Linked DNA regions of Bombyx mori. The protein of the gene in region 2 purifies or fractionates together with the protein of the main gene of each other region. This does not show direct contact. Links are inferred from orthologs where the notes say so. Each region holds a gene or a part of one and is shown on either strand. Other genes may lie near its edges. The genes, in order: neurexin-4 and contactin.

Region 1 (11,966 bases), about 3.3 Mb from region 2:
TTATAGAAGTATAAAATACAATCATAATAGTGTAAAAACTTACAATTTCAACTAATTATAGTCGAGTTTCGACTACTGCGGGAGCTCTAGTCTTCCTTAATTGTCATGTAAAGGAGAACGCCTAAGTCTGAGTATCACATCCTAGGTACCGTTATAAAACAAACCTGGACTCTCACAAAACTGGAAACTCACCGTAATCGCAACCGTAAACTTCAACTCTCATAGATATTTTGTCCCGCCATCTCATCGGGTTAATGCGCAAATATTGAGCTATTATAGGCACTTCGAATTCGTTTTTTCGCACCGTGTCACCGTCTTGGTTCCCATGAAACATCTGTTGAACAGAAACACTTTATTGAATACCCATAATTCGAAATGATCGTGGTATAAAGCCGCGGTTCCACTGCTCCGTAAGGTGTGCACGCCTAGTCTACACAGAGCAGCCTGCATCTGCGTCTACCTTTCTACTACAGCGCCTATGACATATCGAAATCGACCCGCTTAGCACGTTGTTAGTACGGCAGCAGTTTAAGTGGGCGATACTCCCTCTCGTCCCACTTGCCCCACCTTCAGCTGCTGTGATAGGTATGTATTCTATCCGCTTTTTTTTCCTTTCCTATGCTGATAGCCTCGAGAGGCTATTTCAGCTTCGCCCTAACGTGTAGGTGAGCTCACAGGGCTCAAACTGGAGTGTTGCTTATACTGGTCCTAGCAAAAGCAGTGCTTCGCTGAATCTACCACTGGATCGGAAACGCGACCCACTGAGAAGATACGGCGAGAAACTCAGTGGGCTGTGTCGATTAATTCGCTCGTCGAGCCCTGCGTCGCAAGCGACGGGTTCGACGAGAACGGTGACCGATTCCGTCCGCGGTAGAGCAACGCACGTATGTAAGACCATGTCCATGGTGCTCGCTTTCATTTTCAAAGCAAAGTTAGCTTTGCTTCACAGGCACGGGCGCGGCCAGGGTTTCGGACGTTTACTCTAAGTCCGAAACGTATCCTTGGGGACACAGATTAACTGGTGGTATGAAATGTTATGCGCCCTTAGCATAGACAAAGCTAAACACGAATTATGTAGTGTTAGCATCATATATTCCAATTTAAAAATCGTATATCCCATTGCAGTTCAGAGTTGAGATTTCGATCGAATGTTTTTTTATTGCTTCGAAGAATACGACCATGATGAATGAAAACTACCATACATACGTTCCACTTGGGGTTAAGCGGTTGCCGACGTTTATACACATCACAATAAAAATGCCATCATCAAACTGTAGCACAAATACGAAGTTTGAATTTTAAATGTACAACATGGAATGGAGAGCATCAGCAAGGCAAGTACCTACCACAATAATCTCAATCACGACAGTACCATACCAGTTGTGATTTATAAAAGGACTCGGGTCATCGACCGCTCAAGTAATTCATTTAAAGATAATGAAAAACATTTATTGTGGTTTAGACCTGTATGTCAATTGTACAACAAACACCAGATTTTCTATTTAATTATGTACTTAATTTTGTTCATCATCCCTGTCCAAACCTAAACATAATTTACTCAAAATATTAGCCCCTCTGCCACTGCCACAAGCAATATAGTGTGTAGGTATCAGAAATGTGGATGTGTTGAAGAAAATTTTAGAAAACAAAATATTCCGCACAGAGTAGAGATAGATAAAAGCATGATAATTGCTAACAAAGTAATTTAAATGCATGCATATACCAGAGGTGCCGTAGATTGACCCAACAATAGTTTACTACATTAAAATATAGTCTTATTTTTTAGCTATCACGCTGCTGCCTGCTTTATTATTCTACATAAATCGTTTGCCAGACTACCGACATGTAAGCCAGTTGATTGTGTGAAGTATGATACCTCGATATATGTCCATCATACCAATCAGATCATATCGACGGGTGTAAGACCGTTACGGTTTAAACGACATTTTTGTAACTTTACAGAGGTGCCATTTACAGTTCAAAGTTTTGTAAAAATATTATGACAAAAAAACTTCTTCAGCTATGCTGGCGCCGTTGGGATGAGATGTTGGGTGCAAGGCTTATTCGAACAAAAGTAGACTGTATTTATTAAATCGGATCAAAATTAGTACAATTTTACGGGACCGACAATGATTGTATTTTTCGTTGATGCACGTCGTTTTATTTTGTAAGTCCACGCCTCTCCCTCGCTTCCGCCGCGGTGAGGAAAATAGCGTTGCTGTTTCGCACAGGCTATTTGAACGTGGTGAACATAATTGATGTTCAATTGAAAACATCAAATTGTTCATACTAGTATCAAATTACACGCAATTACAAAGCTAAATGGGGCGTATTAAGCGAAATGTCGCTTAAACCAAATAGCTACTGGTGGTAGGACCTCTTGTGAGTCCGCGCGGGTAGGTACCACCGCCCTGCCTATTTCTGCCGTGAAGCAGTAATGCGTTTCGGTTTGAAGGAGGGGCAGCCGTTGTAATTATACTGAGACCTTAGAACTTATATCTCAAGGTGGGTGGCGCATTTACGTTGTGGATATCTATGGGCTCCAGTAACCACTTAACATCAGGTGGGCTGTGAGCTCGTCCATCCATCTAAACAATAAAAAAAAGCCTTTCACCTCTCGAACCGCGTAGGTTCCATATTTATTTATTTAAGCGCAAAGGTCAAATAACAGAAAAAACAAATAAATAGATTTATTGCTGTTTAAAAGAAAATATGTGAGTGTCAGCTCCGATGCCCGACTGGAGTTTATTCTTGTAATCTATGAATACATATGTCAACTAATGAATGTCAAGGAAGTATTTTATTGTACTAGTGTAGTACTACTACATTCATACTCATACATTCATTAAACATTATTACATTAAAGTAAGTACAGTAAAAGTCCTAAACTATATGCTGTGGCTCTGCATATGTAGGTCCCACAATCATACTTTACATGCAATGAACTACTATTAAATATAAAAAAACAGGCATTAAATAATAATGTTTAACTCAAATATAATTTAATAGTGTTGGGTTATTATAAAGAAAATTAATTTGTACAATCAAAATTAAATATTATGTACATAACTGTGGTCGCAACTATTAATTTCTATTCCATATCATTGATAGGCTCCAGCAACTCTAAGTGTCAAGCCAAGCACCTATAGTTATACAATACCTGCGTGTACCCATCCCTCCTGGCCACAAGTTTCCAACTCTCCCCGTCGTCAGAGTACTGAAGCATGTACTCCGTGACATATTCGTCTGTCGCGTACCTCCCCTTTGTGGCAATACCGCGCAGTTCCACGCGCTTGTGGAAGTCCAGGGTCAGATGCTGGTAGTACGAGTTCTCGAAGGGCGTCCAAGCCGATGTCCCTTCACCGTTACAGTTAGTTAATTTAGTAACCAAACCGTGTAATTATTTACAGTGTGATATTTACATTTTATTTAGTAAAATAACCCTTTAATGCATGAATTTCCGAATGCAATAAAAAATTTACATCAGTGAATTTATTATGATTACTTTTTTTTTAACCATGACATTGAAATTTTTTTTTATCAAAAACAGGTCTGCTTGCTGCAACCATATTTAATTTGACCGTTGTGTAAAATTATTCTGCATTTAAGGGCTATAAGATAGATGTTGAAATATTATTATCATTAGAAAGAAGTGTTTGGGGACAGTTTTACACCAATTGAAACATTATTTGACTATCTACTGCATTATCTACAGAATCTACAAAACCAAAAACATGCATACCAGCACCTTTCTGCTGAAAAATTTATATTTTTACCTTCACTTCACCACCAGGAGCTTTATACTGTACGTAATCTAGGCCATTCGATCCATAGCTGATATGGTATTCCTGGACAAACTCTTGGGAATGAGCCCGACCTTGCACTGCGATCCTGGTTATGTTCTTAACACTGCCAAAGTCAACAATCAGTTGCTGATCGAAATCACTCTCCGAAGCAGTCCAAGCGTTTGTACCTTGTGTACAAAAGTTTATTTTAAATCGTTCTATCCTTCCTTGTAAGGTTAGTTTCATTTTGGTGTTAGTTTTAATTACAATTTTTTTTTTCTTTTTAATATATATAATTTACTAGTCTCACATTTAAAAGCTTAAATCCCGACAAATTACAATATAACCAGACCCCATAAAATGCTATTAATATTTAAAAACTAAATATCCCATAAATAGACTAAATACACGCTATTATTAAAAATTCTTCAATTGTTTCTTCACAAACTCATCACTAAATGTTTCATCAGTACTACACAAAGACTTGGCTTCCTCAACCAGCTCTTGATAAGACAAAACCTCATAGCATACTGGCGCATCTGTTGAATTATCTTTCTTTTGCAAAGACACAGCTACAGCATGCTTCTCATCGAGCAATGTCTCTTCAAAGATCCAATCCTCCTTCAAAGCATTCCTCTCATAGAGAACAGTATCAGTAACAATTTTGCCCATTTCTAAATGTAAACTCTTCAGTTGAAAACTGATTTCATCCAAAGGAACAGTTATACCAAACCCCACATTCTTTACGTAACTTTCTTTTAAGCACCATATACGGTAAAAACAAGCAATTTGCTCTAACTCAGTTGAAAAACTGCGTATAGTCGACCACTCTCGTGGTGAGAACTGCCTGGCCATGATCCGAAAGAACTCTGGGATATTCTTGTTCACAGGTGGCTCAATTTTCATGACGTCAATTCCCACATTCCAATCTTTGCATCCAGCTAGAACCACAAAGTCTCCTTGGTGAGAAACATTGAAACTTATCTTCAAATCAATAGGATTAAGCAAAAACGGTTTCCCACGGTCATCTCTACCAAATTTTATCTCATCATAAGGAGTCGATGTTGAGGTCTGTACATACTTTCTTAACATGAGTCTTCCAATAAGTGACGATTTAGCATCGTTCTGGAAGACAAATCTGGATATCCTCTGTTTTTCTTCATTTTGTATATAACTTGAAGCCAATAATATTTCTTCTTTCGTTGGCTGCCACTCACGTGTATTAAATGCCCATCGCACATTGCCTTTGTTGGCCATTTTTGTTAATACTCTGCAATATTTATAATTTGGGGTCCTATTACAGAGAGTTTTGAGGACCTGCAGACCAACGAAATATGGTTTCAGGTCCTTTCTGTTTATTTAATCTTATTGTTCTTTTAATATGTTATAACTACAAAATAATCAAAAAACACTTGGAAAAAAACTTTTAACATGCAATAAACATTCATTCAAATGATTGATTGTGTAATCTAGTGAACTTTTAAAGTAAAGCAGAACAAACAATATACCAAAGTAGTGATAAAATATGGTAGCTATTTTTTGTAGCCTCGAATCAATTTAAAGTTTTTGCCTTACATTTTCCATTACAACAAATTGGCAGAGCAATATTTATTATTAAACTAGTATTACTACCATTATATGGTTCTATAAATAGCACAAAGATGCTACTTATATAATAAAAAAAATGCCTGGAATTATTCAATTTGCCACAAAACAGTAATGCATTCTGATTTGAAAAGTTTGACATCTATTACACTATACAATTGAGGCATTATCTCATGTCTCAAGGCGCATAGTACTCTCATTGTGGTGTCTATGGGATCCAGTAATAATTGAACATCAGGTGGGTTGTGAAATCATTCACCCATTTATGTAACAAGAAAAATATTAAGTCTTTATATATATATCATATATTTATTTGTAAAAGATTTGATTGACCACCCATTTCAACTGACCCATTAAAAACTTCTATGATGTATATATAACATATTAATAATGTGTGATATATCTCAGTTTTTAATTAAAATATGATTGTACCATATTTTATTATGATTAATACTACCTAATACTGTGAAAACCAAGCCTTGTGAGCTTTTATAAAATGCTCCAAACACAAAAACATAAAGCTTTTCAAATTGTAAAATGAACACAACAATTTCACAATAAATTAAGTAAGTCAAAAATTGATAAAGGGATGAAAACCATTTTTTTTTTTCAAATTACTTAACCATAACTTTTTAATTACTAAACTTTATTTCATGATATTTTTAAAGAGTGATCAAAAATTACAGGCATCATTAAAAACACTTTATTCTTTAATTTGAAGTACACTAAATGATTACAGAGGATTCCAATACTACTCCATTTATTTCACTGTAAATCATTTAAATAACACTTTATAAAGCTTATATCACACTCTGAAATCTAAGGCACCATTGACTAAAATATAACAAAATAGTAACAGCTTAGAATAAACAAAATAGCTTTTCATCCCTTCTACTTAAACCGTACTTATTTTAAAAAAAAACATTTCCAGCTAGTACTGGAAAAAGACACTCCTGCAAATAGGAAATCAAAATGATGCCTAGTATTTGGGATGGATTTTGTAAAAGAACAATTTAAGGGGAACTTAAAATCGATTTTTACTCATCAACTGATAATTACACTCATCAGGTGATATAAACAGTGATTGCAGGTGTACTTTTTGCCTTTTTTAAGTTAAGCTGATTTTAAGGTCTAACATTAAGCAGCACAACATTTTCAAAACGACGTTTATGTTAAAGCCCGTATTAAATCGATATTTTTTTATTTCTTACCATATAGCTTAGCATTCTCGGGTCCTCTATCACGCAAGCTTGAAGTAGCCGATAGTTTAGAGTTAGCTACCAAAGGCTCATTGCATTCGTAATCGTAATAATAACGCACGAAATCTGAAAAATAATAAATATATTTGATCATGAGAAGCTATTGAAAACCAAGTTTCATTAAAACAATTTGTTGTGGAGTGAAAAGTGTACGAGTTTTAGCAATCGCTCTAAATATTCAAAGATCGGATGATGCATAAAATAAGCCCATTGCGCTTGAACTGTTTTTGAATAAAAATCAGCGGGTTATCACACTAACCTGCACCGGATTTTGTAATGCTATAACAAAGCAAAACAAATAAATAATACTGAAATCCAGTCATCATTTCATAATTATATTAAATGTAGTAGAAAACCAATGCTGCAGTTTATTACTCGAAAATTAAAATTAAACATAAAAGAAGTGTTTGATCATTACGAACGTTGTCAGTTTGGGCAGTTGTCATATAAACCGGCGCCGGGCAACACCCTTGTAGTGCTGCCAGCATTTATCAAGATTACCACAAAAATTTGTAACTAAAGTAACGGTCAAAATTTATTGACGCAAACCAATTGATTTTGAAATAAATGAAATCTCCAAATTTTAGTAAAGTATTTTAATAAGCAGACTACATAAAAAAGAATTAAAATTTATTCTAATGCTCTAGAAGTTAGTCAAAATAAAACAATCTCAGCACGTAAAAAATATATACACAACTTAGTAAACTAGATAACAAACTGTGTCACTTGTAACTTGTGATGGGTGGAGAACATAAAAAAATTTGAAATTATCTAATTACTGTTGTCTTATTGTATATAATAATAAAACATGAATTTTTACTCTGAAAGTCGGTACCTATGTAAGCCGTCAATAAATATTATCCAGTATTATAATTACAGATAAATTAAACTTGGCTTACTCATTTCATTTAATATAGTACTTGCATAATGTTAACTAAAGATGTCATAAATTTGCCTAGCAACAATGGCATAATTACAATGCTTCACGGCTTCTCAAGGCACCTCCCCTCGCGTCCTTTTCTCACTGCTGAGGGTCGTGACCAACATATTTTGACAGGATTTTATTTCTTGCAATGTCCCTCCAACTCCAGCGCCTCTGATAGTTGGGCGCATGAAGGGCGTCGTGGAATGGTATCCCTAGTGTGGTGCAGATTTGATTGAACCACCTTGTCGGACTGCGCCCGCGCGGTCTCTTTCCCTCGATCTTCCCTGTCCTGAGTAGTCTTTCTAGGCTATCGGCCGTTTTCCGAGCAATATGACCGAAGTACGCGAGTGCATTGCGAAGGCAGAATGTAGACAGTCTTGTCTTGATCTGCAGTTGATCCAAGATAGACACATTAATTAGTTCTCTTGAGGTTTTCTTGGGGGAGGTTCGTGGTGCATTCCGAAGTAGTCTTACCGAAGGTATTTAATTCCTCAAGGTCACCAAAAGACTCTCAATGCGCCAATTGCCATGAATTTTATTTAAAATTATGTGAAATTTTATTTTTTAAGGGATTTTATGACCTGGTAACTAAGACCTTAAGGTCATGTCTTATTTTAATTTATATTCCTATTTTTATGAAAACTGATAATATGGAGTGAAAAGAAATGATATGAAGATGATTAATTTGAGAAATTAATCAACTGGGATGAAATTCAATCAAATGAGATAAGATGATATGGGATGAAATATAATCTCAGTAAAATGGTGGTCATTTACTGTGATTTTTTCAGTTGTACACTTTCACAGAAGTTAAACAGTTAATAAACCACCGTTATTACACATTTAAACCTGAAGAAATACTAAATAGACAAAATAAACAAATCACACAACTTCACTTCTCGCGCTCCCGCCAAATAGTCTCTGAAATTTTATTCTACCGAGTTGACGCATAGATCACTATTAAGGAGGTTTGACGTTCATTTCATTGAACGAAATGTCAGATACAATAAAAAAAGAGTAAAAAACAACTGAGTCAATCGGATCTACAATGTTCTTGTATTGATTTATTGAAATTTATTCTACAATTATCCGGAATTACTGATAAGTAAAGGAACAGCTTCTAAAAAACACCGAATTTATGAACCTTTCGCTAAGATCTTCGTTTCGGAACTAGGATTCATTGAACATCCCGTTACTCATCATCTGTTTGCCACGTTCTGTCGGCATTTTTATTCTGTATAATTATTAATATGACTCTGATGTAGATATTTTGGCTGTGTTTATTAAAAGGTAAGTCAAAATTTCGGCCTCAGCGTATAATACGGTCTTATATACAAATTATGACATCATCATTCATCAATCAATAAAGTTACATAAAGTAATTTAAATTGTAATAACAATATAATATATAAATGTAAATTGTATGTTTTAAACAGATAATAAAGTATTAAACTACTACATTGACAATTTAATAATGTTGGTTTAAAAATTTTTTGACTCAATTGTTTTGTAATTTTAACTTAATAAAATCCTAAATACACCATTTAGAAATAAGCTATTTATACACAAGCTTTGATTATAAACTGAGACTTCATCATCTACCAATACCAATGTTAAATTCCCTGCCTAACTTTCCTAATATTTTCATTGTGTATTCTTAAAAACCAAATGAAACATTCCAACAATTTAATTGCATTTCAATGGTAATTCTCTCAGTAGTTATATCAGGCCCAGTGTGTATTCACCTAAGTTGTTCTATTAATTTTCGTAAACTTTGTATAATGAACACCAGGATAACCTGTGAAACGTTGTCTGTTTATTGTTGTGTTACTTCAGTATTGTTATATATATTAGTATATAGCTTCAGCTTAGTCTAGTGGGGCTGTGTCTATTATGAGTTTGAGTTTGCTCACTGAGCAGATTGATAATTGCAATCTTTTTTATAGAAAATGTATTTAGGACATTTTACTGGTGGTAGGACCTCTTGTGAGTCTGTGCAGGTAGGTACCACCACCCTGCCTATTTCTGCTATAAAGCAGTAATGCGTTTTGGTTTGAAGGGTGGGGCAGCCGTTGTAACTATACTGGAGACTTTAGAGCTTATATTACAAGGTGGGTGGCGCATTTACGTTATAGATGTCAATGGGTTCCAGTAACCACTAAACACCAGGTGGGCTGTGAGCTCATTTACCCATCGAAGCAATAAAATAAAAAAAACAAGCGAAAAATCACACCTTGTGGTTGTCAAAACATTATATTTGTTTTTGTCTGCTACAACCACAATCTTTTTTCTTGGCATTCACATCCAGCACGGCAGTGGTAATCTCACAATGTGTTATTGGTCAAACTTACTAATTATTTCAATTTCTTTGAGAACTTAAGTTAAAAATAAGTGAATGTGAGAAGTGTCATTCATCAAATAATGCCTCACTCTATATTTAGTTTTTAGTCGGATTACTCCATGAATAACCAACAAGCCATTGTATTTATTGTTATAATGGCAAAATAGCATTGAGTTACATAAACTTATTAAGAATTGATTATTTAGTTCTTTAAAATAATATTAAGATCCTTCATTGTTATTTTTATTTACTTAAAAATTTTCAGACAAAAGTTACTCAAAATTTCGTAACCCCGTTAAGATATCAAAATTTAATGTTTTGCAGTAACCAAGACGTTGAGCATGTCGGATCGGAAGGCGGAGTTGGAGCGAAAGAAGGCGAAGCTCCGCGCCATAAGAGAGGATAAAGATCGGCGCCGCAGAGAAAAAGAACAGAAAGATGCTGAAGAAGCACTGGTCAGTAATAACATTATTCAACAAACTAAATTTAGGAGGCATCTATTTGCTATAGGAGCTTAATATGGTGCTCAAATGGGATAAGACCGGATTCCTGTACAAATTTATCAAATTGTCATAAAAAATTCATTATAATTGATAGTTAAGATCGAGAGGATGACATAGATACCACCATTGTGCCTATTTCAAGCTCTTGTTCCAAACTGAATAAGAACTTTCATGATGTGATGTCTCTGGTCTCTGTTAACCAATTGACGACCAGGTGGATTTATTTATCCATGTAGCCAGAATAAAAATTTACATTATATCTTGGTTAAATTAGATTAAATTTGCTGATCCCACAGATGTGACTAAACAAATAAATATTTTTGTAGCAACGGGCATCGGCCACATCTAGCCTGGACAGTCGTCGTGACATTGACGAGATGCTGTCCTCCCTTGGAGTGGCTCCAGTTAAGGATGTCCTCTCTTCTTTATCATCAATGACTTCACTGTCTCCACCTCAGACAGCCTCACCAGATGCCAGTTTACCGCATACAGATAAAGCCAGCCTACAATTGCAAGGGTTAGTTAGTTAAATAAGTTCTGAGCTGAAGAATTTTTTAATTCTTTCTAGAAACTTTTTTTTATTGCTTAGGTAGGTCGATGAACTCACGGATCATCGGGTGTTCAGTGCAAACCGGAGCCCATAGATATAAACAACAATATAGATATCGCCACCAACCCTGAGGCATGAGTTTATAGCACAATAGCTGCCCCACCCTTCAAACTGAAACACATTAGTGCTTCACGGCAGAAATGGGCAGAATGGTAGGCAAGGCCCCTATCACCAGGAATTACGCAAATTAGAATTTTTGCAGGTTTGATTTTTATTACACAATTAATAACTTCACTATGAAAGTTATTCGTGAACATTTGTTAAGTACGTATATCATTAGAAAGATTGGTACCTGCCCGCGGGAATCGAACACCGTTGCATCGCAAGATACGAACTTAACGATCTCAACCTTTAGGCCACGACGATTTCGAGTAAATGATTATTAGTATTATCATAATTTTTGTTCGACAATCACCAGTGATGAGCTGAACATGTTTATTTGAAAACTGACTGAGTTTTTTTCCGCATACGAGTTGTCATGGTCAGTGATGTCTAAACAAGAACAATATAAGCAATATTGTGGCATTTCATATTGATGAGTCATAGCGATTAGGCGTTGTTAAACTTTAAAATAAATAATAGTTTAAAAAAACTAAGCTTTTCAGGATATTATCAAAACAACCCTTCTACTCATATCTGTTCATAAAATATTTATAACTATTGATATCATGCACCCCACGCTTTTTTTATAAAAATCATTTTTTCCTGCACTATTTTTAATTCAAAGTTATTAAAATTTATTTTCTATTTTTTAGTTAATCTTAATTTTTTTTTATATTAAATTTTCATCGGTCCTTAATAAGTATACCAAAATTCCAGTTAATCCAATGTTTTGAAGGGGGTCAAAATCATGTTCAAAGATTCCGTTACATACATACGTCTGAAGCTAATAAAAGCGTATTAAAAAGGCATAGTGTTTATCAGTTATTTACATATAT
Region 2 (11,964 bases):
GGTATGTATGTACCACCACCCTGCCTACTTCTACCGTGAAGTAATGCGTTTCGGTTTGAAGGGTAGGGCAGCCGTTTTAACTGTACTTGAGACCTTAGAACTTATATCTCAAGTTGGGTGGCGTAGTTATGTTGTAGATGTCTATCGGCTCCAGTAATCACTTAACACCAGGTGGGCTGTGGGCTCGTCCACCCATCTAAGGAATAAATAAATAAATAAAACAACCAAATCCTGCTCCAACAACACTTCAGGCTCTGAACAAATGTCTACATCTGGAAACCTCTACACTTGATACATTTTTGGAATATATATCTTACAGACCTCTGCACGAGGCCTGCGAGAACTGCCACGTCGAGGTGATACGTCTGCTTTTGGCGTACGGCGCTGACCCACTGCTGGGCACCTACGCCGGACAAACGCCCGAAGAGTTGACGGAGGGCCAGGCGACTAAGTTCTTACGACTTCACATCGCTGACGTGCAGGGCCAGGCCATCGAGCCGTGGAGGTTTCCACCACCCACGCACGTCATAGGTAAGTATTTGTAATCGACAACATGCTATTTAATCAATTTTGAAATATGTACCTTTTTTTTTTTTAAACGATGGGGAATCCATTTACTAATACCCGGTCAAGGGGGGTAACGAACCGGGTTATGTCGGACTCCGGCACCTCCCGAGAGGAAGAGGGAGCATTTTTGTCTCTATCTAATCGTTGGTAACCTAACGAGCTATTCATGTAAAGGGCTATTCATTCCTATTATTTTTTAAATGTTAAAATTTATTTCAGATTACGAAGAAATAGGTTGCGACCCGTTGTCCTCCCCGCCGCCCGCGTCGCCCGCGCCTCCTCCGGACGCGACCATAGAAATTCAATGCACAGAAGCGCCACTACCACCCTTCTATAGTCTCAAAAACGGGTCCGGTCAGCCGTCGGATGGTCTCTGGTGCCTGCTACAGGACATTACTAATTTATTACAGGTGAATAAGGTCGTATTTTATATGAAGTAACAGTTTAAAAAGAGATGATTTCAAATTTTATAACAGCACAATCAAGGGCATATTGCAATTGATAAATAATGTTTCTAATTATATACAACAGAATATCTCTAGTAAGAAAACTTGATTTTATTTATTAATAAAAATAAATTAGTAACAAAAAAATATGCAAATATTTTCGACCAAGTATGTACTTATAATACAATACGATTTTCCCACACTAACCTTACCCAAACATTTATCAAACAAACAAATAAAACTGACGGACATTACTTTCAGATAAAATCAAAAGACAGTCTACTGAAGCAAATCCATTGCGGATCTGGTTCCCCGAAGGAGTTGCTTCGTGAAATACGAACCCAGGAGTTCTTGGAGCGAGCGCAGTGTCACCAGCTCATCTGCGCCGGCGAGAAGGTCAACATCCGAGCCTCCAAAGTGGCTCTGATCAGAGTCACGGATAAACTGCGGCAACTCTTGAAAATAGAAACAGTGCTTGTTAGCTGACATTAATTTTAACTCACAACCCTCGACGTTTGAAATGAAAATCTCATGTATCAGCATTCAAGAAATGAAAAATAAAACAAAATTAATACACAGTGCTTACTTACTATATGTGTCGAGATTCTTAGTTCGAAATCGATCATTACTAAATATTGGAAGTCACAAATTGTAGGGAAAAAACTCGATATTTGTGACTTGTTCAAGTTTAACTCAACGACGTCGATAATGCTCGGTTGGTATAAATAAATATGTATGATTAAAATAAATGTTAAATCGTAGGAGTTCAAATCGAACTCAAATATTCCAATATAAACTTTATTAAATTGAATATAACGACTAATTCTTTATCCGGATTGACAAATTTATGAAATGTGTATTTGTGGAGCTTTTGGTCTATCAACGATGATTTTGTTTCGTCGCGACCAAAGGGAATATGCTCATTCGCTCACAGTATTGGAAGCAACAGAAGACAGTTCAAAAGATCTTCAACTCTGGACTGACTACTGTAACGTAACTTTGTATCTCATTTAAGAACAATATTCTGTTATATTAGTTTCATGAGACTGTATAATTTAAGGGCAGCCATTGTGTAATCATTAATTTCATTTTTCTGTTATGATCTAGCTTTTGTAACGCTTCAACGATCCGTTGAAAATGACTAATTGAAATTTTGTCATTACGTTTTATTTACGGATGTTTTGTACGAAATTATTTGAACAACTGCTGTAAATATTGTATATAAAAATTAAAAAGATTTCTTTTGCGTATAAATGTTGCTTTAAATGTATGATATTCTCATGGGTGCTATTTAAATTGGTGTATGGTTTATCGGGTAGTGTAAGTATTTCGCTTGCTGCGTTTAGTTCTGTAAGTAGATTTTCATAGTAAAGTAATAGTTACCATAAAATAAGTTGTTAGCATAATCTTTGTGTGTGCAATAGTATACGTGAGAACTTAACACGGTGAGAATGAATTTGATGCGGGCGTTATGTCAGTCACAGGGTCGGATTAAAGCCTTAGAACGAATTGCACTCGGTGTCATCTAATGAAGACAAGCGCACTTGTCTTGTGCGCGTAAAGCACTCCAGTGCAGTCGTCTGATAACTGCACTCTCCAGTGATATGTTCATTTAGTAAATTTTTTGTACATCACCTAAGTACAGTTATAAAATAAATAAAAATTGTTGGGATTATGCTAAATAGAAAATTTGCAATCTATAAATAAAAAAAAACTACATATTATTATATATATTATTTTTTGTTTCCTTGTTATGTTTGCTAATGTTCTTTGATCGAAATATGTTTATAGAAATATTTTTCTTTATATGTAAAACATATGATTTATGTTTTATTTAAAAAAATATATTATATTAAATCAACTTTTTTATTTTTTATGAAATCAAATTATAAAGCATATCTACTGTAAATAAAATTGAATAATAATTAAAATAACAAAAAACTATTTTGTAATTTATTAAGGAGCAAAATCAGAATGCACTCAATGAAATCATGATGTATTGAATAATTGATATAATAATTTAAACTCTGATATTTACATATTATTTTGGGATATACGAGTATTTGGCGTAGCACGAGGTCATAATCCGCCCTAATATCCTTCTTTGTGGAGAATATAATGAAGAAGTACATTGTTGATCTGTGATGACGTATTATTAGTGGAAACTATCATGAGTGCGGAAATGGTGGGAATTTATTGAAATAAATGTTGTAAAAGTGCTGTATGTGTACTTTCCGAATGAAACACGCGTAATACTATGTTTTAGCATTATCTACAATGTAAGTATTATTGTAATTAATGACACATTTCTTGTTGATAATATGGAAAATAAAAATGTGAATGTTCATAATTCAATAAAAAATGATTATTTAAAACCTTTCATTTCTAGTTTTATTTACATGAAAACAATAATCTTTGATAAAATGTTAAGTTGAAACATAAAACTGAATGTTGAGACATAAAACTAGCAAAATAGGTAGTCTTCTTCGTCATTAAATATTGGTGTTTTTCTACCCTAAGGTAATGAGATTTTTTCCATAGAGGTAACTCTCTTTTCGTAAACTATGTTCTTAAACAGCGACATTTATACACTAAACTTATATATAATATACATTCATCCATTAAGTAATTTAAAAAAAAAGGCGTTTAGAGCACCGATAACATACTACAACTCAGGTATTAACTACTCAGATATTTTGTTACCATTTATTCATTATAATCAAATAAATGAATCTCTAATCAAACAGTCGATTTTTTTTCTTTTTTTTTTATGATTGAGGGATTATTGGTGGCCCGGAGGCTTTTACAGTTTTACCAGAACAGGTGAACGAGCAAATAGGGGCGGAATTTGCTAACAGCTACCCGAGCGCCTTCAAAGGAGGCCTAGCAACTCAATAGTAAGTACCTAACTGCTTCAGTCGATTTCTTTAAATCATATCTACACTACTGAAAGCCAGTCACGTTTCTTTTTTTGCCACCTATTGCTAATAGCCGGTGCTTGGAATGCATAAAAGCACCTAGAGTGGATCCGGAGTATCGGATACTAATGTGTCTCTTGAAGCCACACGTCGCACTTTGATGATAATTATGACAGAAAACTTCCTTGAAGTGCTATGTGTCACTGTAACTGTTTTATTGTATTAGCACAATCTTTTAAATGGCTTAGGAATGCATAGAGGGTAAAGATGCAAAAACACAAAAAATATTCCTTTTTATTATTTACACTAAACTATTTGGGTGAATCTGGAAAAAAACCAACTTTATATGCCTTGAATACTATTTTCTTAGATGTCTAATGATTATTAATTAATAAAAATAGTTAAAATTTCAATATTCAGATCGAAAGATTATATAAAAAATTTTGAAACTTGATTTCACATCGTGCTACAAAGAGAAGTTATATTTAAATTATACTTATATCATTTTTAGTTTCATTGGTGAAATTTTACAATAAAGGTTTTACATGAACAAAAATCGATTCAAAAACAAATCAAATATCAGATATCATACTAATATTTAGACATCAGTGACATCACTAAGTGGTAGCTTGATTTTCCTTCATTCATTTTACGCAGTAACTATTATACTAATCTGTGCATTCATTCTACTTTCGTTCAAAAGCATACTTGGTAAATAAATGAAGCTAAGCGACAATTTTAATTAAAAATATTTATTAAAAGGTTAAACTACATACAGTTGTTATTATTACAATAACTTTTCCGCGCGAAAATAAATTTCACATAACAGCCTCAAGACTTCATACGGAAAGATCACGATAATTATGAAAAAAATGACGGTTGATTTACTGTTAAACGGACGATTTTCTTGTTGCCACTTTAACTATTTTTAGACTAGTAACTACACTTTTTAGTTGAAATGTTTTATGGTTAACCCAAAAAGGTAAATCATGCTTCAAGATATAAAAAAAAAGAGAACTACAACAGCCTAAAATGTTGATTAGTGCTCAATCTAAGGAAGGAAGAGCTAGAAGTGATCCGTGTCAGAGCGATAAGTTATTTCGTACTTAAATAAGGTTATTTTATTATTCCTGCGTACATGTTTATAATACAAATAAAAGGTTTTTTATCTAAATGGCAAAACTAGAAACGACATATCAATAAAACCTAATGAAAGCGACCTTATATGTTAAAATAGTACTTACTTGGTTTTGGTTAAAACCATCACTTTCATTAGTATTCGTATGTCATAGATATTACTAAAACTGCTTTTACTTTTCGAACACTAAAGTTTTCGCGGCTACGTACGATTGAGTTCTACCGTAAAAGTAATGTTTAGGATGTATGCGATAGTAGTTTTCGAGTAGCTCTTTCAAGATCTTTAAAAGGCGTTACTTTTCAAAACGAAACGTGGCAACACTGCATGACGGAATACTGATTTGGGCGAGGCTGCCTTGTTTATAATATTTATTATTTTTCTTATTCGTTTATGAAAATATAGTGCAGAAGATTAGTTTTACTAAACGTAGCATTGGAATTGTTTTGAACAATATAAACACGTTATGTCTAGTCAATAAGGTTTGAAAGATTATAAATAATGACGATAAAAATATTCGATTATTATTTTGAATGTAATGAATTTTGTTATTATTCACAGAAGATGAAGTGTACGTTCCTTGTACTCGCAGTTGCGAGTTTGGTGAGGACCCAAGCACCTGAAAATGGTATCTATAATCAGAACTATCCGGAAGGAAACCAGAATAATACACAATATCGTCCCGGGCCCCAAATCCCTTACGGCAGTTTTCCCGTAAATAATGAATATCAACAGCCACCTCAAAGCTCTTTCTACCAGGACAGCCTCTACAACAGTGACAGCTATGCTGAAAATGAAAATGATGTCGAAAATACTGCGAGTGTATATGCTGGCTTAGATTACGAAGAGAAGTACCGATGTCCACCCAACTGGCTCCGCTACAAAGAGTCATGTTATCGGTTTACGAAGTCTCCTGATCGTCCTAGAAATGAAGCAAGAAAAATATGCCAAGCCTATGAAGCTGATTTAGTAGCCGTCAATAGCCCTGAAGAACATGGTTTTATAATAAACAATTTAATGAGGCTCGACCCTCAGAAGGGTTCATGGTATATAGGAGCTCACCAACAGTCTCCAGGTTATTGGTCCAATGATTATGATGGTTCACAGTTGACAGGTCTTGAGAATGCTTTCTTCGACGATCGACAATTTTCATTAAATAGTTATAATATATTTCCTAAAGATTTTTTGGTATACAAATTTTCACATCAAGATGGACGCTGGGGCTTAGCTGCTGTAGAAGGTACACAATATTATCACTTTATATGTGAGGGGCAAATGCAGCGTTTACATTATTTAATAGAAGAAGAAAGATCATTCACTTATGGCTTAGATACTTATGATCCAGAAAGGATTCCGAGAGGTCCATATTTTGTAAAACAGCCGGAAGATACTGTTTATGATCCTTTAAGAAATCATTATGTCCAACTTACTTGTATAGCAGGAGGATTTCCAGCTCCAACTTACAAATGGTTCGGAGAAGATTATCAAGTTGACAGTCCAGTTTACACAGAAATAGATCCTTTAGCTGACAGTAGGATTATATTAAGTGGAGGAACTTTAATGATTTATAACCCTGACAGTGAAAAGGATAATACAAAATATCACTGTACAGCTACAAACAAGTTTGGTACGATTAGATCAGAATCTGTCCGGTTGTCATTTGGATTCATAAGAGATTTCAATCAAAAGAGGCCAGTAGAAAGTGGAAATCAATACTGGGGTAAAGTAATGTATTGTGATCCTCCTTCGTACTATCCAGCTGTAAATATTCTGTGGGCTCGGAATTATTTCCCTAACCTTGTGGAAGAAGATAAACGTGTCTTTGTGTCATATGACGGTGGCCTCTATTTCTCAGCTTTAGAAACAATAGACCGAGGCAACTATAGTTGTAATGTAATGAGTAAAGTGTCTGATGAAGGCAGAAATGGTCCATTCTTTCCCTTACAGGTTTATCCGCATTCAGATTATCAGCAATTGAAATTCCCAAATAGCTTTCCTAAAGTATTTCCTGAAGCTCCAGTGGTTGGGCAAGAAGTCCGCCTGGAATGTGTCACATTTGGCTACCCAGTACCTTCTTATAATTGGACCAGACAGAATGGCCTTATACCTAAAAAAGCTCAATTGAGTAATTTTGACCGGGTTTTAACAATACCCAATGTAGGTGTAGAGGATGAAGGCGAATATATTTGTGATGTTCACAATGACAGAGCGAGGATATCAAATAGTGTGTATTTAAAAGTACAAGCTGAACCAAATTTTACAATTCCTCTTGGCGATAAACATATGGACAACAAAGGAGAATTACATTGGAACTGTGAGGCATTTGGGATACCAGATGTTAATTACACATGGTGGAAAAATGGTAAAAAACTAAAAAAAGATAATCTAGAACCACAGGACCGTGATAGGTACATTATTCAAGACAATGTTTTGATTATAAAATATTTAGACCCAACAAGAGATCCTGGAATGTACCAGTGTGAAGCAAAGAATCAATTGAAAGCTAGTTACTCGTCAGCGCAATTACGAGTGCTCTCTTTGAAACCATCATTTAAAAAACATCCTTTAGAATTGGAGACATACGGTTCTGAAGGTGGAAATGTGACATTAAAATGCAAACCAGAAGCTGCCCCAAAGCCAACATTCACTTGGAAAAAAGACAACATAGTTATTGGGGCAGGAGGAAAAAGATTCATTACCGAAAATGGGAATTTAATTATTAGACAACTTTCCAGAGATGATGAGGGCGTGTACACATGCGTCGCAAAGAATCAATACGGCACTGATGAGAGTAGAGGTCGTCTAATTGTCTTACGTGCACCACGTTTCCTTGAAAAACTCCCCCCTCGGATCACTGCACAAGTGAATTCAGTAGTTTTCTTGCACTGTAATGCCGATGTAGATCCTATTTTAGATACAGCGTATCTATGGAACCATAATGGCTTGCGGATTAAAGACTCATCAGATCTGTATGTCAACAAAAGAATAAAAATTGACGGTGGTGAGCTAACTATTTACAATGTAAGTCTTTCGGATGTGGGAGATTACGAATGTGTCGTTAAGTCCGCTATCGGAAGAATCTCTTCTCATGTGCAGCTGCGTATAGAGGGCCCGCCAGGTCCGCCGGGAGGCGTACAAATACTTGGCATACAGAGGTCTTCGGTGACCCTAGAGTGGACCGACAGTAACTCAAACGGTCGCCCTATAACTGGATACATGCTGACCGGACGCACCCACTGGAACTCAACTTGGTACGTGATCAGCGAGAATATACCCAACGTAATGGAAGTCGATAGATACAATGGGCGTAAACGAGCCACTGTTTCCACGACGCTTCTACCGTGGGCCATATATGAGTTTAGAATTCAAGCTATTAATATACTGGGTCCGGGGCAACCGTCCGCGCCGAGTCCGCAGTTCTCAACGTCGGGAGACAAGCCCTATGAGGCGCCCGCGAACGTTAGCGGCGGCGGCGGGAAGACCGGTGACCTCACAATCACGTGGACGCCCTTACCGACCTCCCTCCAAAACGGACCCGGCATACATTACAAAATATTCTGGCGCCGGAACGGCTCCGAAGTCGAATTTCAGTCCTTGCTTCTTAAGAAGTACGGAAACATCGGGACATACGTCGTGCACATATCTTCCACGTATTTCTACACGCCGTACGATGTCAAAGTACAAGCCTTCAACGATATAGGTCCCGGGCCAGAGAGCGAAGTAGTAACCATTTATTCGGCGGAGGACATGCCGCAGGTCGCGCCGCAGCTGGTCTCCGCGCGGTCCTTTAACTCCACAGCCCTGAACGTGACCTGGAACCCGATCGATCAGTCGCGCGAGAGGCTGCGCGGCAAGCTGATAGGCCACCGTCTCAAGTACTGGAAACAGGAGAACAAAGAAGAGGAGTGCATCTACTATTTGTCTCGAACGACTCGAAATTGGGCTCTTATAGTTGGTCTCCAGCCAGATACATATTATTATGTGAAGGTATAATTTATATTTGATCAACTATGAACTTGAACTTTACTGGTGGTAGGACCTTTTGTGAGTCCGCCCGGGTAGCTACCACCGCCCTGCCTATTTCTGCCGTGAAGCAGTAATGTGTTTCGGTTTGAAGGGTAGGGCAGCCGTTGTAACCATACATGAGACCTTAGAACTTATATCTCAAGATGGGTGACGCATTTACGTTGTAGATGTCTATGGGCTCCAGTAACCACTTAACACCAGGTAGGCTGCGAGCTCGTCCACCCATTTAAGCAATAAAAAAAGAACATATTATTGGTATGCGTGTACTATCACAATAATGTGTTCCCCAGGTGATGGCGTTCAACTCAGCGGGAGAAGGCCCGGAAAGCGAGCGATACTTGGAGCGCACGTTCCGCAAGGCGCCACAGAAGCCCCCGGCCTCCGTCAACGTGTGGGCCCACGACCCCACCACCCTGCGCGTCGTGTGGCGGTATGTCCAACCCACCAACGAGGAAGAACCTCTGCTCGGATATAAGGTTAGTGTTGCGGAGTGCCGTCGAGCACACACCACTAGTTTATAAATAGGAAAACTGAATTAACAGACTAGAAAAATGTAAGGAGTTGTAAATGTTTACTGGTGGTAGGAACTCTTGTGAGTCCGCATGGGTAGGTACCACCATCCTGCCTATGTCTGCCGTGAAGCAGTAATGCGTTTCGGTTTGAAGGGTGGGGCAGTCGTTGTAACTATACTGTAACCTTGAGAATTTTTATCTCAAGGTGGGTGGCGCATTTACGTTGTAGATGTCTATGGGCTCCAGTAACCACTTAACACCAGGCGGGCTCTGGGCTCTTCGATCCATCAAAGCAATAAAATAATAATAATGTAAAATTAGAAATTTAAAACTGTTGTTTTATATATATTTAAAGAATGCCTTCCATCGATTAGTAAAATTAATGCGAAAGAAACCTTAAAATGGCTGACATATATATTGTTTTACAGTTTTTTACAGTATATTGTAGTTGCAAGTTATCCAGAAGGATACATAAAATTATTATTATATTTATTATATATTTGTTAATGTTGCAATTAAGGAGTGTAGTTTCAAACGTTGAACAATTATTACTAGTTAGGCATTCGACATCCGCAACGCCTTTATATTGGATCTTCTGCGCTCTCTTCTAAACGATAAACTAAAACAGTTTCAGTAAACGAATTACAAGGTTGTAACTATAAATATAAATCAATAAACTTCAAAACGAGACGCAAAAATATATCGTGGCCTAAATAGATAGGATGGTCATAAAAATTGATGCGAGTGCTCAATATAAACCTCCAATGCACGTAGTAATGTTTTCTTTTACTTTTGTATATATATTTATGTATATATATATATATATATTTTTTATTGCCCTTGTAGGCAGACGAGCATACGGCCCACCTGATGGTGAGTGGTTACCGTCGCCCCTAGACTTCAGCAATCTCAGGGGCAGAGCCAAGCTGCTGCCTACCTGTATATACCTATCTGTATATACTGTTATTTATATCGTTTTAGGTACGATTATGGGAGCTCGACCAAGACATGAGCACAGCGAACGATACCATTGTACCGATCGAGCACAAACTAGAGGCCTACATCAGCAACATCATTCCGGGCAAGTCGTACAACCTTCGCGTGCTGGCCTACTCCAACGGCGGCGACGGCAGGATGTCCTCCCCAACCATCGCCTTCCAGATCGGAGACTACCATTCCGAAGCGTACGGCTACTACGCGAGAGGATCCACGTCCAACCATCGACACAAGCCGGTCGAGTTTCTACTAGCATCGATATTTCTTGTTTATTTTTGTGTAATCCACCATCGAAGTCTCGATTAAGTTGAAATTCTAAGTTTCTCCATGACCATTCAAGTGAATAAGAAATTTCATATTTTGATACTCCGTTCTATTTCGTAGTATGTCAGTCAATTTTATTTTGTTAAAAGTAACTATTGTTACACAAATATTTACATATTTTTTTTTTTTTGTAATTTTATTTTATTCCGCCCATGTCAAGTGATTATGTAACTTTCTATCACAATATTTATTTTGTTTGATCTGTATATTTTGCACTGATTTTTAAATGCGATTTTGATTTTTTTCATATTTAAATTGTAGAAAATTAATTTTAAGTTTAAATGTAAGTTGACAATAAGTGTATGTATCGCAATAAGTATAAAATAAAATATGTTCATTTCACCTTTAGTTGAACTAAGACTCAGAATAATGTTTTTGGGTACGGCAGCTTCAATTTGAACTATATTTTTATACAAATAAATGATACATTGAAAATATGAATGGTTGTAAAAGAAATACACATTTATGTATTCTAAGATATGGGTAACATAATTTTACTACTCAAATAGAATCTCTTAGCTTTTAAGTAATGATAGATTGCAGTCTATCGATAATCCGAGCCATTTTATACCTTTTTTTAAATTATTGAAAATACCCATCTGATTTTATTATATTAAGGGTATTTTAAAAATATAAATTTTCAAATATTGATCAATAAATACATTTTTTTATACAATTCGTTTTAATATTCAAACAACCTGTTTAGTAAAATTCGTAAACTTTATTCATGTAAAAGCATTTTAATCATAATTTTTTAGATTTACTTTTACATTTCAAATACTTAGTATCATCAGAATGTGAATTATCAAAGTCTTCACTGCTTTTTCTTTTCAATAACGAATTATCGTTTGCAGATGTCGACTGCTTCAATGGTTGTAGACCGACAGCAAAGGGAATTTCGTTTCCTTCTCCATTCGTATCGATGTTACTTAATTCGGGATCAGCGCTCCCCACATCACTAGACTCGTGTAGTAAATTTTCAATCGACTGATCTGCTTTTGCATCGATATTATCAGTCAAGTCCCTTAAAGGTTCTGGGA

What was found.
Region 1: the proteins of contactin (region 2) and neurexin-4 purify together in Drosophila melanogaster (affinity purification with western blotting; 4 studies listed by BioGRID). This does not show direct contact. The link is inferred for Bombyx mori from reciprocal best matches to the Drosophila melanogaster genes Cont and Nrx-IV.

What each region holds. Positions count from the first base shown.
Region 1 is NC_085115.1:15,825,866-15,837,831, reverse strand, and holds the start of neurexin-4, read right to left. Parts: upstream 7,120-11,966; 5' UTR 6,976-7,119; coding exon 6,909-6,975; intron 6,716-6,908; coding exon 6,602-6,715; intron 3,974-6,601; coding exon 3,777-3,973; intron 3,358-3,776; coding exon of another isoform or gene 3,161-3,357; intron 335-3,160; coding exon 193-334; intron 1-192. Other genes in the region: cytoplasmic dynein 1 intermediate chain, read left to right, coding at 10,257-10,370, 10,745-10,935. UniProt on the Drosophila melanogaster protein: Seems to play a role in the formation and function of septate junctions.
Region 2 is NC_085115.1:12,546,699-12,558,662, reverse strand, and holds contactin, read left to right. Parts: upstream 1-4,667; 5' UTR 4,668-5,046; intron 5,047-5,275; exon of another isoform or gene 5,276-5,548; intron 5,549-5,627; 5' UTR 5,628-5,630; coding exon 5,631-9,053; intron 9,054-9,382; coding exon 9,383-9,568; intron 9,569-10,585; coding exon 10,586-10,906; 3' UTR 10,907-11,600; downstream 11,601-11,964. Other genes in the region: uncharacterized protein LOC101735345, read left to right, coding at 320-531, 787-977, 1,275-1,499; uncharacterized protein LOC101747003, read right to left, coding at 11,669-11,964. UniProt on the Drosophila melanogaster protein: Required for organization of septate junctions and paracellular barrier functions.